Linked DNA regions of Schizosaccharomyces pombe. The gene in region 2 interacts genetically with the main gene of each other region. Each region holds a gene or a part of one and is shown on either strand. Other genes may lie near its edges.

Region 1 (6,627 bases), on a different chromosome or scaffold from region 2:
GACAATAGAGGACTAGCGACCTGCTTGACAACTTCTGCACCGGCACGACGAGCAGTGTGCTCTGTCGTAGATGCAGCAAGTCGAAAGTTATCAAGGGTATAATCCTCCTTCAGCTGATAGCTGGAGCCAATGACAAAACGAAGCTTCTCAATGGGAATATTCAACGATTTTAGAATAGATTTGACAATAATTTCATAATAACGAACACGGTGTTGAACGAGTTCCATCGGCGCCTTCATGTTATCCAAAAAAGCATGGACATCGGCTAAAAGAACAGTAACATGTACACCGGCCTTTAAAAAATCAGCCAACTTCATCATTGGCACAAAATAACCACAATGAGGACGGCCAGTAGGTGCACTGCCCCAGTACAAGCTGATATCGCGTTCATTCAAAATTTCGCGAATCATTTTGGCGCCAAGCACCTCTTGAAGATTACGAGTAATCAACTCATATTTTTCATCCGGAGTAAGCGACATCTTGCTTGATATCCAACGTTAAATGGAACTCACAAAAATTGGTGATGTTGGTTAACGATGTTTTCGATTGCAATCATGGACTGCGATCAACGTTCGGAATTGCCGCGGCACCGTGACTGCAACCCGAACAACAAATTATTCAGACAAAATTATTAACCAAGGTTTAATAAATAATTTGGTTTAATTATGTGCAATTACTAATAAAATATCGTTTAAAAAATGTTTATGTTATCAAAACATTCGTAAAAAGGGTAAAAGCGGTTAATTAATGTTAACAGGAATAAACCTTTTGGGAAGATGAACTGAGTTGCAGAGGTCCTCGGTTTTCGTTATAAACTGCTGAAGGTCTAAATGTCTTGTAAGCGACCTGCGAGGTGAAACGCTAATACAGTGTTTAGCATCAAGATTCATATCCAATGGACATTGGGCATAACAACCTGGTGAGAGTGTGATACGAACAGAAAATTCCTTATTTCCTGAAGGATTAGTCCTCTCGAATAACTCAAAGCATATTTGAGTGAGATAATCTAATTCGGGAATTTGATTTCTAGGTAATTTCATAGGTAGTCCTGATTCAAGTATACAATTAAGCAAGGTATAGATATGAGACTCTTTAGTAAAGTACATTCTTGTTGAAGCATGATCAGAATCTCGTGCCTCTTTAATGTCATGTATGATTTGACGAAGCAACGGTACACTTGTTAATAAACCAATTTCTAACTTTTCTTTCGGTTCTATACCATATTCTTGAGGAGAAACAAAATCAAATAATACTTTTGCTAAATCGTATAGCTCATACAACTTTTCCAACGGCCTTTCAGTGTGATTAGTATTTGCACCGGTCATCCCAACAAGATTGCCATTGCTATCGGTTCTTTGGGGAGGCTCTTTGGCAATCAAGCTTGGACTCTGAGGCAATTTGAGATACTGATAGGGAGTAAATATGCGTTCCAAAAATTGCCGATTGTGAAGAGCATCATACTTCAATGTATCGTATAGTTCAGAAACCTTGGATGGGTCTGCTTTCTCAGAGTCACAAAATTCGCTAAACAACTTCTCCCACCTTTCCCTAAAGAGCGCAGGATTTTCATTACAACACCAACGCGATTGAACTTGCTCAACCTCAGGTCCCAAAATAATAAAATTCTCTCTCATTACTGCGCGATGATATTTCATGAGTTGAACAACTTGTTGCATTACTTCACAAGGCTTGGGCATGTTTTCTGGCCAAGTAAACTCCTTTCTAGCCGTATCTCCAACTCTTAATAATGATTTCAAGTGTTTCTTAACCTTATCCATAGTATCCTTGGCAGCATTAGAATCATCTAACAGATCTTTGCGAACTTTGAGTAAGTCGCTAGGAATAGTTTCTTGCTCCAAAAAGGCCATTGCAAAAATTTCAGCAGAAGCAGAGACACGTCTTTCAGAAGATGTGTATATTTCGACATCTTTCAGGCAATCACGATTCATAATATACAGGTCCTTATGAAACTGCTCTCCTAAATCCTTAGATTGGTATCTCGCGGAATGAGTAAATTCACCACCCCATTTGATAATTAGCTGCAGTTTCAAAAGCTTTCCCTCTGGGGAATAAGCCGGTTTAAGTTGCACTTTTGTCCCCGGTAAGTCTTTCTTCGTTTCCAAAGCTAAGCGTAACTGTTTTAACTTGTTGATATCTTCGCATTTGAGTTCTGTAGCAAGGTTGGTAGCTGCCAAAACAGAATTGAGTTGTTCGTTTCTTAAAATAACTTCCTCGGTATGACCTTGCAATAATTTTACAAATGGATCAGATGTAAATGAAAACTTAAACTTTTGTTTAGGTGTACGATCCGCGTGACGCAGGACTCCGACCAAACTTTTAAGTCTCCATGCCTCACTTTCTCTAGGCGGAGGATTTAAAACTTCTTGGACTGAAGGTACACGATTCCGTCTATGACGTTCGGCAACATGAAACATTTGTTTCAAAATTCGAGCAGCATTATCATAATAATCGTTGTTATCCTTGACGAAGGACCATCCATTCACATCAATCACATACGACTGACCTGAGACACGAAGAAGATCAAATCCACAAACAGGTTGCTCAAACGCAATTGATATCTTAGAGGCCATATTTTTTTCTTCCTCTGAAAGATTGGTGATAAACCTAATTTCCTTACCATGTGGATTCCTTCTCACAATTCCGTCCACTACGGGTGATTTGCGGGTTTCTGCATGGCTGTAATGAGGACCCACGGTATAAACCTTTACGTCTTCCGCGTTATCGACATTCATGAATTCCTCGTAAATAAAAGATCCTTCAGTGCGTGGAGCACAAAGATCTGGATCATAATCTGAAGACTTATTTGCGACTTTACGAAATAATTTGCGACCTCCCCCACCAACGGATTTAGGGAAATAAATATAAATATTGTGATCTTCACCATAGACTGGTTTTTCAACGTACGGCTTCTTTATTATCTTGCCATCAACAGAAAGAGTATCTTCGTCCAACATTTTTACTTCTGGGGTAGGAACCTCTGTGATTTCTATTCCAAACTTTCGACGCAACTTTTCTTCTAGGACTTTATTAATTTTAGGACCTCCATCACGAGAGCAAATCAAACGCTGAGGGGTGGAAACACGTATGGCATCAAGGATGTTCAACACAAGCCGTCTATCCCAAAGCAACTCTTGGAATACTACATCGTTTACACAAAAAGGTTTACGCAACTCGACATACTTTTCAGCTTTCTTCAATGGAAATCCACTAGAGTAGAAACATATCAAATAATCACAAGCAGGCCAATTTTCCACAGCTTCGTCCAAAATCATGTTGTCACCGAATACTATGGCTTCAAACTCACCTTCTGCGATGATTCTGTTCAGAATATTCCGACATGGTTTTGAGCGAGCTTTGGCATCCATGGCACAGATTCCAACTACATTTCGTTTAGTAGGTGTAACGATTGAGGAAACAGGCGACGCCGTTCTGGTAGATGACTCTGTGTCGATAGATGTAAGATGACTTGCATTTTGAATCATCCTTTATTATTCAACTACGTTAAAATATTTAATAACGCTTAAAACACCTTTTTCCCACTTGTATTCTTTCAATGGCCAATTCCCTCACTTGTTTGGTTATGAGAGATGTAGGTACACGGTGTTAGTACACACCTAGTCGATCAATGTTACTTGTACGGTTAACCTTACAATTCAGCGAGGTAACATTTGTTTACCTAACGAAATGTAAATAAATAAGAAATTGTTGCTTAAATGAAGTGGACAGTGAATATTGAATTTGTTTCGCAGTAATGCTTCTATGAATAACTTTTTTACTAATTATACTGGGTTAGTTAATTTGGGTTTTCATAAAAATTTTTTTAACCAAGCCCAGTTTCTGTTATTCTTCTTTCAAAAACGTATTCTTCCAGTTTAGTAAAAGCTTGTAAAATCCATCAATATTAAATTAAAAAAGAATTAGAAAAAATTTTTGTTTAATAGGTTTTTACTTTTCGTCCGTGCGAAAACACGTGGACTGGAATGTTTAAATTTTACAAGCAACAAACATTAAAAAATTACTTCTACTAGCTGGGTTCAAGAGTATATTGTTCTCGCACCTTTTACATAAAGAAAAATATTTTTTAAGAATTTACTGAAATTTATTTCATTATTTACAAGCCCAGAATTCCAACAATCATAGATTTACCTTACCACTTTTTGATATATGTGAATAGAGTTCTTTAGGTATTCTGAAGAGAATGTAGAAGTTTTGCTAACATGTTTTTACGATTAAATCTTACAATAACATTAGACATCAATGTTTAGTTCTCTTTTTTTTTTAATAATAAATAATTTGTTTACTTAAATAAACGGAACAATAGCAGAACGATTCTTATTTATAATTACCGAAAATTGATATATGACGGATTGACCATATCGTTAAACACATTTATCGATTTCAGTAAATACACTGTCGTAAATTAACGATTATTACTGTAGGTCGTAAAGGGTTGCTAGAATTTCACAAACACTGCTTTTTGCAAGTTACAGGACAAGAGCCATCCTTTGCCATTTTACGTGCTATTTGTGTTCTTTCCTGTGATAAAATGCCATTTGCAGAGAAGAAACGGAGGACTTATGAAAATGCGGTGAAGCCTCTAAGAAAATCTAGGATCTATGCTCGTAAGTCAAAATTCTCTCTTTTTCTTTTGGAATGAACAGATTGCTAACTGTATTTTTAGCCTTTAGATCCATCGGTCACGTTTCCAATGCAGTACCTTTCGACATTGAGGCTCGTGGAACCCATTTTTTGGTAACAACGTCGGTGGGAAACACATTTCAAACATATGACTGCGAAAAGTTGAATTTGCTTTTCGTTGGCAAGCAATTAGACAAGGAAATTACTTGTTTAAAATCCTTTAAAGATTTCATGCTTGTAGCTGCCGGATCAAAAATTTTTGCATATAAACGTGGTAAAATAATATGGGACATTGATGTGGAGCAAGAACATGGAACAGTCACTCATTTAGATGCTTTTGGTGAGTGGATTATTGCTTGTACATCTTCTCGTCATGTTTATGTATGGAAACACGCTTCTAAATATAGTGTTCCTGAGCTTCATACTACATTTCTTCCTAATACCAATGCAGATATCACTAGTTTACTACATCCAAGCACTTATTTGAACAAAATACTGCTAGGATTCTCAGATGGAGCATTACAGATTTGGAATTTGCGTGTTTCTAAACGTGTACATGAATTTCAGGAATTTTTTGGTGATGGAATCACTAGTTTAACACAAGCCCCTGTCCTCGATGTTTTAGCTGTTGGTACTATTAGTGGTCGTATTGTAATCTTTAATCTTAAAAATGGTTCAATACTCATGGAATTCAAACAAGATGGCCAAGTTCTTTCATGTTCATTCCGTACTGATGGGACACCAATATTAGCTTCTTCCAACCCCATTGGTGACCTTTCTTTTTGGGATCTTTCAAAGCGAAGAATTCAAAATGTTACATATAATGCTCATTTTGGGTCACTTCCAAAGATACAGTTTCTTAACGGGCAGCCCATATTAGTAACTGCTGGTCCAGATAACTCTCTTAAAGAATGGATCTTTGATTCAATGGATGGTGCTCCTAGAATCCTACGTTCTCGTAATGGTCATTACGAGCCACCTTCATTTGTTAAGTTTTATGGGAAAAGTGTGCACTTCTTGATTTCGGCTGCAACTGATCGGTCATTAAGAGCAGTTAGTTTATACCAAGACTCACAATCAACCGAACTATCTCAAGGCTCTGTTATTTCAAAGGCAAAGAAACTTAATGTTCGCCCGGAAGAATTAAAATTACCCGAGATAACTGCCCTATCTTCTTCAAATACTCGTGAAAAATATTGGGATAATGTTCTAACTGCCCACAAAAATGATAGTTCTGCTCGCACTTGGAACTGGAAATCTAAAACATTGGGTCAACACGTTTTACCAACTAGTGACGGTACGTCAGTACGGTCTGTTTGTGTAAGTTGTTGTGGTAATTTTGGTTTGATTGGTAGCTCTAAAGGCGTTGTAGATGTTTATAACATGCAAAGTGGTATCAAAAGGAAATCATTTGGACAAAGCTCTCTATCAGGCAAACCAGTCACTGCAGTTATGTTGGACAATGTAAATCGCATTCTTGTAACTGCATCGCTGGACGGGATTTTAAAATTTTGGGATTTCAACAAAGGAAACTTAATAGATTCATTAGACGTTGGAAGTTCCATTACTCATGCGATTTATCAACATTCATCAGACCTCGTTGCTGTCGCTTGTGACGATTTCGGCATTCGCATTGTTGACGTACAAACAAGGAAGATTGTTCGTGAATTATGGGGTCATTCGAATCGTCTCACCAGCTTTGATTTTTCCGATACTGGCAGATGGCTTGTTACTGCATCTTTAGATGGAACAATTCGCACATGGGATCTACCCACTGGTCACTTAATTGATTCAATTTCTACACCCAGTGTATGCACAAGTTTGACATTTGCACCAACTGGTGATTATCTGGCAACAACGCATGTGGACCAGGTGGGAATTAGCTTATGGACGAACCTTTCAATGTTCAAACACGTTTCTACAAAGGCACTTCGCCTTGATGATGTTGTTGAAGTTTCAGCTCCTTCC
Region 2 (6,403 bases):
AGTTTCAAAATTAATCAGATAAATTTATACAGCAAGCCCAGTATAAAAAGGGGCCTAACCAGGATTCGAACCAGGGATCACCTCTAAACTCAGCATACAAGTGGGGATTACCCGAAAGAGGTATGTTAACCACTACACTATTAGGCCTAGGTTTCTCATTACAAAATATTAATATAATATATATATAAAATAATTGCGACATAATAAATGTTAAGTACCTCTTTGCTCTGAAAACTAAAATACCAATAATGACGCTTTTCTTTTCATTAGAAGAGAATGTTTATTAAAGAAATATCTTAAAGAAAAATACTACTTAAATATTTATTTAGGAGTTAGTACACTAATTCCAGAGTATTAAATCCAAGTGTAACAAGGTAGGAGTAACAAATAGTTGTTTAATTACAGACAATTAAGTACAGTAGAAAATTACTCAAATATATACAAGGCTTTGGGCCGTTTAAAACGAATCATGCTGATATCTATATTCGGCTAATCGACTTCTTGCTTTATTCTCAGTTTAAAATGGAGTTTTTTTTTATAGCGTTACGAATTAGAAATAGATGTAGCCGTCTATCAAAGTTGACATTGCACGTGAAATTATCATTATAAACATAATCAAATGAATGGCAAAGCGATCAAAATAAGAAGGAATTTTACTACGTTATAAAACATTCGGCTTTTTATTTTACTTTATTCTTTTTTATTCAGGTGCATCTGATAATAATCGCGTGAAACTTGAGTGCAAAAAATTTTACAGCCCTGTAGATCCCGAGTGAGAGTAGATCACATATAGCTAAAGGAGCTCGTATGAAACTAAGATACAAATACATTTGTTTACGAACGTTTGACAAATATATAAATTGACCCACAGACCTTAAAATTGTCAACAACAGTTGTCTCAAAAAAAAGCCGGGTCGAAAGTACATTATTTACTAAATGATAGTGTTTTTAACTTCAAAAACAGTACAAAGAATGCTATAGAAAACAAAATGCATTTTCGATGAATTGAATTATTCATTTTCTGTAAACAACAAAAAGTTGGTTGAGAATTATGGAATTCGTTATTTTTATTTACCGTATTTCAATAGTTCGTAAATATGCATGACCGCATCGGTAAGCATAGGCAGGCTTAGTAACTTGCATTTCTCTTTGTCTTTAAGCAAACATCGACTAAAATACATATTGCTTGAAAAATTTAATATTGGTTGCATACACTTAATTCACAATGGATAAAACAAAAATGTTTAGTGCCATTAATTTGGGCGTAGGTGGTATCTTCGTTTTAAGCGGATTTATCAAGTTATTTTCATTTAGCTTCGTAAACGCTTTACTTGCATTGTTCATCATCGTTTTCGGTTTGGGAACTATTGGTTTAGAAAAGGAAATTCCTCCTATTGCTATTAAATATGGATCGTTCATGTTCTCATTCTTAGGAAGGGGCTTCTTCTACGCTTTCATGGGTACTTTACTCTTTTCTTACTCCGGGTTTACTTCTTTCCTAGGCTTTTTAGTTCTTCTTGCAGGTATCGCCTACTGTGGTGCAAACTACGTAGCAGGATTGCAAGACTACGCTCCCAGAAGCATGCGTGATAATGATTGGGATGATAACGTTGATGAAGTGTAGACTTTTTTTTATTTCTAACTATATTATTTGATTCGGTTCTTGTTCCTACCCCCCTCTTTTCCCGATGTCCTCCTACATATGATTTATTCTGGATACATTCGTTTTCTTCAGGGTAGGTGTTCTAAAAGACAGTCACTTTAGCAGTCATCCTCAGAGTAGTTAATGAGTATAAATATGTATACGATCTCTTAACTATGTATAATTTTTGTATATCAACATTAGCGTAGTAGCTATGGTATTTGTGATGGGTTTTAGGGTTATACATTCAAATACCTTTAATTGTCCAGCTTGGATTCTGAACTGTCGGGTGTATCGAGGAGGATAAAAATGACATGTCAAGCTCAACAATATGAAAAATTATGATTTTTTTCTATTTCTTCACTTTCTGAGATGTATCTTGCAGTTCAAAATGTTAGTTGGCTTTACTAAAATTCTATTTTATTTCATTACTCTAATCAATTATCTTTTTGCTTTATGACCATTACCGCTTATACTCTATAGATGTTTTATATTTTTTATATCTAAATAAATATCTTAATTTTTTTGAGCTGTTGGGAATAATGAATATTCTTTCTGAGTTTCTTACTTACAGGTCTTATAGACGTGTTTCCATTGTCCATACTATAAAATTGTTGACCTCTATAGTCACCGTTGCTTTTGTCACTACATTGCAAGAGCTGACGAGTCCTCCAAATTGACAAATGCGATCCTCAATATTCCACTCAAGGCCGCTGGTTTTTTTAACATACACACTCTGTCCTACTGGCAGAAGACCGCAATGTAAACCAATGTTGTCGTGACAATCAACATGATTTATTCCGGGTTGAAGCAAAGTTGATACATTCAATTCAGTTAATAGAAATACTTCATTCTTTTCAGAAATCGAGGCGGCCCAGAATAGATGGTTTAAATTACCAATGGCATGATCAACTCTTCCACCCATGCCACATAATACAAAAATAGTATCAATCCCATGTTCTTTAATTATTTTATGGCATTTCATAAAGTCAGTGGTGTTTTGGCATGGGTCGAATACAATGTTGACTCCCATTTCTTTATAATAAGCTTTAGTTTCATCTGTTAACGAATCAAAGTCACCAACGACATAATCCGGTTTGAGCGAAGAATCGTAATTTCTCAATTGGTTAGCACCACCGTCTGCGCAGACTCGGATACTAGCTCTTTTCCATAAAGTACGAAATCTATCATCCGGTATATCTATGGGTTGATTTAATAGTAATACCGCAAACTTTTGATCAGTATCATAGTCACGTAACCAAGCCTTACATGGAGCTAGCTGATGAGTGGCTTTTTGGGGTTTTGCAGGAACACACGTTTCAGCTTTCTTTGAAGTATCTTCAAAAGAATCCCCTCTTTCATATTTTCCAACAGGAACAGGCAACGGTCTATGTATCCGTTCTAAAGTTTGGAGATACTGAGGATGCTGTGGAGTAATGATACCATGACGGATTAAAAAGTCTAAAAGAACCAGAGCACAATTTGGCTTAAAACTTTTTAATTCAAGTTCATGAAGTACTTGATTCAATGGTAATAAACTGAAACCAGCGACTTCTCCATCATTAATTCTTGGGATAACAAGATCATCAACAGGTAAATCGAATACATATTGTAACTCGGGCTGAATCCAATGCCTTTTCTCCATTTTGATGTAGGAGACAGTGCCACAAGGAATAAGATTCATAGAAGAAACGTCCAAATTAGCTTCTTCAGAAAATTCCTTTATCATAGTGCCTATGACTGAATCACCATGAGCAATTCCGCCGGCAACGCTATTATCTAAATAATTGGGCCACGTTTGTTTAGTCGGTGATCTTCGTGGTACCCAAATACGAAGAGGATGTTCTTTAGTTGCTGGAATATACATGGTACAATGCACACCAGTGCTCAAAAAACCGAATAACCAAAATCCGCCCCGTTCAACGGCCAATACAGGCTTTTTAGATTTTCCATAAACAGTATATAATTCATTCCTCCATTGATCAGCAATTCCAAATGTATTGTTATGGCGCCAATGCTCCAGTACCTTAGCTAAGATGTCAGTTCTTTTTTCAAAAGTAGATGCGTTTATTTCAATATACTCTCCTGGAACATAAACCCAATTGAATTTGAAATTATCCGCCTTTATGAGGATTTCTAGTACCAAAGGGGTAACATATCCAATGGCAGCGCCATTTGCACGGAAGGGAATTGTTCCAGGAACAAATTCCCCATTAAAAGAATCGCATTCATCTAAAAGCTCTTCGGCATTTAATTGTTTAGCAGAGGTGATAGACGACATTGCCATTACCTTGCCCAAATTTTCCTCTCAAATGGATAGTGTTCTAAAATAAAACAGGAATAAAAAAGGCTAGTGTATTTATGCGAAGGAGACACTTATGGTTCAATTCAACATAAATAGAATAATATATAAAACACCCTATACTAGCAAATGGTAAAAGCTCAAGGAAACTGGTTCCTGGTAGTAGAAATCGGGTAGTTGACTAAAACCTTATCGTATAACGAAATGCTAATCTATTAAACCCCTTTCAAAATGATCTTTAAAAACAAAAAAGAAGTTGATATTAAACAAACAGTACCTTAATCAAGGTAATCTAGTAATTGTCTTTCAAGAGTGTGGTCTACGAGGAAAATTACAATGGGAGCAGAACTCCGTGCCAGGAATGTCTTGGTATTAAAAATAATAGCACACAGATTGGCTTACTAATTTTCACTTTAACACCAACCGCCGTTTTTGTAATTAATTAGGGTTTGGTATAGTTAAGCGTATCTTTCACATGATTTTTATTTTCAGTGGACTTCCTTCGTAAGTTTTTTAATAATAATTCCTGAAGTGATTGATAATTTTTCCGCTAAACGTATCAAATCTGGTTGTATAATAGTTATCGACTACAGCTATAACTTGCTGCTCAAACAATTTCATGTAAAGAACATCTGCCTACAGAAAAGCTAGCATAGAAAGTTCCTTCTTTTTTACGTCTCATAAGACGTCAATGCTTGGGATTACTCCAACATATTTACATGTATAAAAGCATGGATAATGACACTAAAAAAAAAATCGAAGGGAATAGAAAGAAAAAAAAAATCTTATACTTTTCTCACGCTTTTCTGCATCTCCGTTATATTTAAAATAATCCAAGTCACCGAAATGTTAACATAGTAGTACATCTGGTTATATTGTTGAGATAGCAATATGCTATGTTCCCTTTGCCAATTTCAACTCTAGAACAGTACATTAACAAAACAACGAATCTGAACTTTTTTTATAAAAACAAATTGTCCTTGGTTTAGCTACTGGCAGATAATTAAATTCTATTGCGTTGTTTTAAAATGAGTGTTAACAATGAAGTATCCGCTGATCAACATAACCCTGAACTAGAGGATGATACATTTGAGCATGGACCTCCGGTTTCTCTGGGAGAAAAGAAATCACTTAATGAATATATGAAGATGGATGCCGAAGATGAATCATTGCAGAAATGGAAAGCATCTCTGGGTATCACGGGAACAGGTTATTCACCCTCGAATGATCGTAGAACAGTTGTTATTTTAAAGCTGAGTTTACTTGTTGACGGCCGTGACCCAGTTGATGTTAACATGGAAGATGCAGCAAGTGTCGAACAAATCCGCAAGAAAGGGTTCACTATTAAGGAAGGAAGCGAGTTTAAGATTGGTGTTAAATTTCGTGTACAACACGAAGTAATTTCAGGCTTAAGATATGTCCAAACTGTTCGCAGACGTGGCTTTGTTGTTGACAAAACATCTACCATGATTGGCTCCTATGGACCTTCTGAAACACCTTATGATTTTACCTCTGAACCAGATGAGGCACCTACAGGTATGCTGGCTCGCGGACATTATGAAGCCAATGGAAAGTTTGTTGATGATGATAAAGTGGTCCATCATGAATTTGTTTGGGCTTTTGACGTTGCAAAAAGCTGGAAGTAGTCATTATTTATGCCAGCCTTATTTTTTAAAATCGTAAATTTCAAATCTACTTGGTTATTCAAAATTCTCGGTATTCAGTACTATAAAGAAATTTATAGTGATGTTTTGTTACAAAGCAAACATTTTCCTTTTTCTTACCAATTTCTTTCACATATCGGTGTCTGGACTACAATTGAATATGGTAATGACGATTTCTTACCACCTTCTTCAGTGAAACTTTACTTCACCCAAATATCTCGGATTGTTTGGAGATTGCCTTTTGTTGTGCAAATTACTTTTATAGCTTACATATGATCTTCACATATTCCCCTTTAGCAATCTACGTTGTTTCTTTTAAATCTCGTTCCAAAGCTTACAAATGCGATATTTTGGAAGGATATATACATCCGACTATATTCTTTTCACTGAAATTATGAGTTTTGAGATTTTGATTAAATTTTTCCAAGTATCTTATACTTTTCCACTTTTCCTTGTTGTCACCAAAGAAGTACATAGAAAACAATACAAATAGCTATTAACTAGCCTGATTAGTCCCTTTGATGGGAATTACTAGAATACTATTGTAACGGTAATAACTCATTCTTAAACTCATTTCAACGTATCTCGCTCGACTTTGAGAAAATCCTACATAGTGCTTGAAACTTAACTTTTTATTTTAATACTTCACACTGATTAAAAGATTGATTAATGAATCCTAAACCCATAAAAAGTTATTGAGCGCAAAGCTACTGTCTTAATATAGTTTTACTGCAGTAGAATAGAGACATCGTTAACTTGGTTTCTTGGTATCACACTTTTTCTTTCACTAATTCT

What was found.
Region 1: of tnr3 (region 2) and asp1, changing one suppresses a phenotype caused by changing the other (phenotypic suppression), as found in Schizosaccharomyces pombe (one study listed by BioGRID).

What each region holds. Positions count from the first base shown.
Region 1 is NC_003421.2:570,970-577,596, forward strand, and holds asp1 (inositol hexakisphosphate kinase/inositol pyrophosphate synthase), read right to left. Parts: upstream 3,604-6,627; 5' UTR 3,504-3,603; coding exon 741-3,503; 3' UTR 501-740; downstream 1-500. Other genes in the region: tyrosine--tRNA (Tyr) ligase Yrs1, read right to left, coding at 1-479; U3 snoRNP-associated protein Utp21, read left to right, coding at 4,568-4,643, 4,703-6,627.
Region 2 is NC_003424.3:1,314,874-1,321,276, forward strand, and holds tnr3 (thiamine diphosphokinase Tnr3/ Nudix hydrolase fusion protein), read right to left. Parts: upstream 4,106-6,403; 5' UTR 3,930-4,105; coding exon 2,220-3,929; 3' UTR 2,108-2,219; downstream 1-2,107. Other genes in the region: tvp15 (COPI-coated vesicle-associated protein), read left to right, coding at 1,226-1,624; Rho GDP dissociation inhibitor Rdi1, read left to right, coding at 4,973-5,590.